Linked DNA regions of Saccharomyces cerevisiae S288C. The protein of the gene in region 2 interacts with the protein of the main gene of each other region in a pairwise test. Each region holds a gene or a part of one and is shown on either strand. Other genes may lie near its edges.

Region 1 (3,450 bases), on a different chromosome or scaffold from region 2:
AAGGACCAAGAAAAGGAAGAGCGTTTAAAAAGTAACGGTAAAAATATGGAGTGGTTCTATGAAAAATTTTTGGGTAATATCTTCTAGATGCCTTTTTAATCAAAGCCTTAGGGCAACATGAAACTATATTCATCCAATCAAAAAAATGAGCACAAGAATTTCTCTTTGATCATTTTTCTTTTACCTTTAATAACAATCGTTATCAACATTTTTTATTTCCAGTCCTACCACAGCATTATTGCATAATTAATTTACAGGAAGATTTTCTTGAAAAAATAGAAAGAAAAATACCCATTTTTTCAAGGAAAATAAAATTTATATATTACATACATTTCTATAAAACAGTTTAAATTCAAAAATATAAACAAAAACATAAAAATAAGAAAAGTTCAAGTCTTCGTTATTTTCTGTTTGTGGAGTAATCGATCTTATTAACATATATGTGGAGACTTTTCAAATATAGCCACCTGCAACATGGAACCATAGTGTACAGGTATCACTTAATCCTCCAAATCATCTAATTCAAAGTCCGATGTGGAGAGTAGCTCGGCAGTAGCCACAACGTTTTGTTTGGAGGCTCTCATATTAATGACCCATATAGTAGAACTAACGATAACTGCCATACCGCACCACGTCCATATGTTTGGCCAGTGGTGAAAGAGCACGACATCCCAGAAAACAGCATATATAACTTGAGTATAAGTCATTAACGAACCCCTTCCTGCACGCTCCCTCTGGATTCCCATTGTTAACAGAATTTGGTGAATGAATCCAGAAATACCCAAGTTCAGAAATAGCCCCCACTGCTTCCACGAATGAGGCAGTTGTAAAGACATCGAGGGAATTAGAAGCACACCGAGGGCTGCCACAACAGTAGTAACCAACGAGAAATAACTGACACTCATGATGGCATGTGCCTTGTTACCGATATATCTTATGATAATGTAAACACTACTCAATCCGCAAACCCCCAATAAACTCACCCCGATAGCAATGAGTCTTAATTTGGGATTTTGAGTCTCAACAATATCGTCTTGTGGAGATTGCTGGCCTTGGGTCTGCTCACCAAACAAAAATGTAGGTCTAATAATTAACACCACTCCAGAAAATGAAATTAGGGACCCCAAGGCTTCAAGTTTACTAAATGGCTCACCCAGCAGTAAAAATGAAAGGAAAATGGTTAGGGTTGGCGACATGAAGGTGATTAAGACAGCGTCACTTATACTTAGATACATTAAAGAAAAGTACATTCCAAAAACACCAAAAAAACCCATTATACCTCGGAGTATCAACCATTTCCTGCATGGTGCTGGGCCCCATGGAATATCTGGAACACTTTGTTTATTCCAATGCATGTATACTAGCGTACAACAGTACGTGATAGACATCCTTACTAGCAGGATTTGCAGAGGATTAATTCTTGATTGCGAAGTTTCCAGTGGGTCATTTTCTAGGACTTTGGTAGAAACTACCATAGAAGAATTGAAAAAATAAGACACTATAAGTAAGATAAGTCCATAATTAGGCTTTAGATAATCTTTACTAATTCTTTGCAGCGTCATTGAGAGAGGAGGTGTTTATTCTACTTTTCTGTTGGGGCAGCTTTCGTGAATGTAATAATGAGATAATTTTCCCTGTCTCCTTTGTTTTTTTTTCCAGATGACTCAATTAGTGACTAAAGAAAAGGATGCCATATGGAAGACAGATATCTATAAAAAAAAAAAATGCTATAAATACTTTTTAAACTCAACTACAAAAGCGAAAATGTTTACCTTCTTTTGGAAGGTTTAGTAGTCGTATCTCTTTCAATGATTCCGCCTGTATCCTCCAGACGCTCTTCCTCAAGGGTCACCTGATCTCTTCTTTCCCACCAACGGTCTTCACATAACTCAAATGACTTCGTCTTTAACTGTTTACCCTTAAGGTTTCTGTTGTTAGAAATAGACCAGGTTAAGAAATTTGCACCTTCCCTTAAGTAGAATGCTCTTAAAGTTTCGAACGGTTTTGGGTGTGGTAGCCAAGACCTTTCGTCTGGAATCTCCATCTGCGCTTGTTTGTCATCGTCGCTCTCGCTTTCCTCATCTTCATCACCTTCAAGGGGTCCTGCATCTTGTTCCTCTTCGCCGTCGTCCTCATCCTCCTCATCGTCCTCGTATTCAAACTCATCTTCGTCCGAATCTCTATCACCTAGTCTCTTTGCTTCTTCGATGGCAGATAGGTCTTCCCAGTAAACCTTGACACCATCCAACTTGTTCAAATCTATACTATAAAATGAGTTTATAGGATAATCTTTTTCGCCCAGTTCCCAGACACCACTGTAAATGAACAACGAGTCGCCCACTACACAAGTTGCTGCGTTAAATCTTGGGTGAGGTAATTGATTTGAGATGGTAATATCTTCTTGGTTGTCCAAATCACTGTCATCTTCGTTATCTTCGTCGTCATCGATAGAGTTAGGACCCGTTGTGCTGTTGTCATCATTGTCATCGTCGTCGTCATTTAGATTAGACTTGGCCAGAATGGAATTTAGTAAATCCTGCAGTTCCTTTTCTTGATCTTTATTAGATTTTCTTTTACTTGTGGCGGGTGAATTTTTACTATTCGTTTGACGCTGAGGTTTAATTCTAAGTTTAGACCATTTGTTCAACTCTAGGTGGAACATATATAGGTCGTTATAGAAAACGGACTCTAAGGATTCCTCTGTCTCTTGTAAATCGTAGACACCACCAAAAGCAACGGACTTGTTTTGCTTCCATAGATTGAACGAATACCCGACTCTTGGTGAGGGCTGGTTCTTGAAATTCTTTAATTTTTCCCACTGCCACTTCTTTGGATCAGGCGTTAAGTTCAGTTTCCATGCATCATTCAAGATTTTTCCCTTCATTAAATTTTTATTATTTTTGGCAATGATTTTACAGTAACCACCCATTAATATGGCAGAATTATCTGTAGGAATGAAACAATGACCCGATCTAGCGTCAGGTTTGCTGTTTGTCTCCAATTTGGTCCATTTGTAGGTTGAGATATCAAAACACCACAAATCATTTAGGTAAGAAGTTTGACCATTCCCCAAATCTCTAAATCCACCAAATAATATGAAATAGTTTTTCCAAGCAATAATTCTATGACCTGATCTGGCGCTGGGTGAAGAGTCTCTACCGCCAAACTCCAACTTAGTGAATTTCCTTTCAACGCAGTCAAACAGCCATGTATCAGAATAGTGGTAGAATTTAGATTGTTTTGGGGACGAAAATTCACCACCGTGTAACAGTGCTATTCCGGAAGGATGCACAGCGACAGCGGCACTGGATCTGGGCAAAGGTGCATTTTGCGAAACGTATTTTTTCCAAGAGTTGTTCTTTATGGAGTATGAATACAAATCATTATAGAAATGTGTTAGTTTGGTTTCTGGATCTGTAAATTCACCACCGAAAATGAACAATTCATGTT
Region 2 (3,240 bases):
CAACAGCATAACGCTAGAGGGGCAAGAAGGAAGAACTTAAAATAATAGGTGTAAAATGACTTTGGCTTTTAATATGCAACGGTTGGTGTTTCGTAATTTGAATGTTGGGAAGCGCATGTTCAAGAACGTCCCCTTATGGAGGTTTAATGTCGCCAATAAATTAGGAAAGCCCTTAACTCGCTCTGTAGGGTTAGGCGGTGCTGGCATAGTTGCTGGTGGCTTTTACTTGATGAATCGCCAGCCTTCTAAGTTGATATTCAATGATTCTTTAGGGGCAGCTGTCAAACAACAGGGTCCCTTGGAACCAACTGTGGGCAACAGTACGGCAATTACCGAGGAAAGGAGGAACAAAATAAGTAGTCACAAGCAGATGTTTTTGGGATCATTATTCGGTGTTGTTTTAGGAGTTACGGTGGCTAAGATATCAATTTTGTTTATGTATGTCGGTATTACAAGCATGCTTCTTTGTGAATGGTTACGGTACAAGGGATGGATTCGCATTAATTTGAAAAATATCAAATCTGTAATTGTTTTGAAAGATGTAGACTTGAAGAAACTGCTTATTGATGGGTTATTGGGTACAGAATACATGGGTTTTAAAGTATTCTTTACATTGAGTTTCGTATTAGCAAGTTTAAATGCTAACAAATGAGCAAGACAAATGACCAGATATAAACGAGGGTTATATTCTTTCGTTTTATACTTTTTTATTTTTGGTATTTCATTTATCCTATACAGTAAATATACATAGGGCTAAGGAAGAAAAAAAAATCACGTCGAATATAAACCTAATTGTGTTCTATATTGCGGACATATATTTTTCGTAGATTGAAAAGTTCTTAAACGTAATTTTTTTGACGACCAGTGAAGAGGAATTGAATAAGTAGAACTTGGGCAATACTTATAACGGCAATGATAATGATAATCAATATAGATAACCAAGTCAACCTTGATTCGGTGGAATTGACGGTAGACATGTTTCTCCATTCTCTGGCTCTCAAATAGTTCAAAGTCTTCGTGATTTTGTTCAAGTTTCTATCTATTTCCTCCACGGCGTTATTGGCAATAATGTCATCGTTATTGACATCAGCTTCATGCTCGTCAGTCAAAGTTTTTTCCTTTTCTAGTGTAATTTCTACCTTTTTCAACGCTGTACCATAGTTATTGGAAAAACAAAAGGTATACTTCCCCACTCCAAACGATTTTAATAAAAAGTCTGAGTACTTCTTTTGTTTCTCACTAGTAATCACAGATCCATCAGGAGCAGTAATATCAAAATCAATCTCAAAATTACCACCGGTTAGAACTTGGTAACCCACAGCCAGGGAATCATCCTCAGTAACCATATCGTAGTACAGGCATTCTTTGCTGAATGCTGGTAAACTGATAGCAACTGGTGCATAACTGGAAGATGCAGCCACTGAATTGACCAACGCCAAAATTAAAACAATGAAGAAAGAGGGTAGAGCAATTGTAGATTTGATCATGGTTTTCCTTTACAATGAGTGTACTCCACTGTTTATCTTATTCTAGTTTGGGTCACCTGATGCAGAATTGGCGGTGTCGATCCCTAAGGTTAATGAATCGAAATCACTGGAGATTTTGTTAGTTTTTCATTTTAACTAGTTCAAGTTTTGGCAGAATGTACTTTTTCGTGTTTCGGGACACGTCGCTGAAAAGGATTGAAATATAACCAAACGCCATCATGTAAGGTGCAGTGAACATTAGCGCTAAGAGGATTGAGGATTGCTTTATGAAAGTTTATGAACATTTTCTTGAATTAAATAAATAAGTCTGAAAACACTTGAATTCGAGATGCTGTAGCAATTTGTAATATTATTTAAAGTTCACAGAGTGGCTTCCTTGGCGGATCTGAAAAATAGGTAGTGATTTAAGGCTATATAATATTAGATACACAAAACATACCAGAAATTTTCCTCGAAGACCAGCAGAAGGGAACCAATATCACGACATTAAAATATTGTTATCTCTTTTTATTCAGTGCTTGTATTTCAGCTTCCATTGAAAACGATGACTGTCTTCTCAATCTTCATGTCGAGCCCTCACACTGTACATGATAATATACTAGTACCATGAAAACTAGTCGATAGATGATAATTGATTTTTATTTGAAATAGAATCTTTAATGATCACAGTGGATCTTTTAAAAACTTGGTGAGATAGTGCTAGTGATCCGTAGTCTAAATGAGTTACGTACGAAAGGGAGCCAAAAGCAATCTGACCAATTTGTATATATATACATCTATCCGAAAAGGAAGACATCAATTAGTACGGGCGTGTGGTCTAGTGGTATGATTCTCGCTTTGGGCGACTTCCTGATTAAACAGGAAGACAAAGCATGCGAGAGGCCCTGGGTTCAATTCCCAGCTCGCCCCGAATAATTTTTTTTTGCCTATCTATAAAATTAAAGTAGCAGTACTTCAACCATTAGTGTTAGCGATAATCAAGAAGTGAAACTCTTTCTCTATTTTTTTTTTAATTGAAAAATTTCCTTTCTCTATAGCGTATAGAATATATGTTACATGTATATATATATATAAAGTAAAAACGTTCGGAAAATTCCTCATTATACCCAGATCATTAAAAGACATTTTCGTTATTATCAATTGCCGCACCAATTGGCTTAATCAACTTCTTCAACGGTTGGACCTTCAGCCTCTGGAGCTGGAGGAGCACCACCTGGGAAACCGCCTGGAGCACCACCTGCAGCGCCACCTGGAGCACCACCAGCTTGGTACAACTTAGACATGATTGGGTTGGCAATGTCTTGCAACTCCTTCAACTTGTCATCGAATTCTTCCTTGCTGGCAGTGGTGTTGCTGTCTAACCAAGAAATAGTCTCTTCAGCCTTCTTGGTGACGGTGTCCTTGTCAGCTTGTTCCAATTTGTCACCAGCTTCAGAAATGGTGTTCTTCAAAGAGTAAGCAATGGATTCCAATTGGTTCTTGGAAGCAATTCTTTGAGATTCCTTTTCATCTTCTTCCTTGAATTTTTCGGCTTCAGCAACCATCTTTTCGATATCTTCCTTGGACAATCTACCCTTGTCGTTGGTAATAGTGATCTTGTTAGACTTACCAGTACCCTTTTCGACGGCGGAAACATTCAAAATACCGTTAGAGTCGACATCGAAAGTGACTTCAATTTGTGGGACACCTCTTGGAGCTGGTGGAATACCACTCAATTCGAACTTACCCAACAAGTTGTTGTCCTTAGTCTTGG

The links.
Region 1: the proteins of ERP2 (region 2) and YPL264C interact in a protein complementation assay, tested with the Saccharomyces cerevisiae proteins (one large-scale study listed by BioGRID).

The regions. Positions count from the first base shown.
Region 1 is NC_001148.4:42,783-46,232, forward strand, and holds YPL264C (uncharacterized protein), read right to left. Parts: upstream 1,563-3,450; coding exon 501-1,562; downstream 1-500. Other genes in the region: DIP5 (dicarboxylic amino acid permease), read left to right, coding at 1-87; KEL3 (Kel3p), read right to left, coding at 1,769-3,450.
Region 2 is NC_001133.9:136,859-140,098, forward strand, and holds ERP2 (Erp2p), read right to left. Parts: upstream 1,488-3,240; coding exon 840-1,487; downstream 1-839. Other genes in the region: FUN14 (Fun14p), read left to right, coding at 56-652; Hsp70 family ATPase SSA1, read right to left, coding at 2,645-3,240. UniProt on the Saccharomyces cerevisiae protein: Involved in vesicular protein trafficking.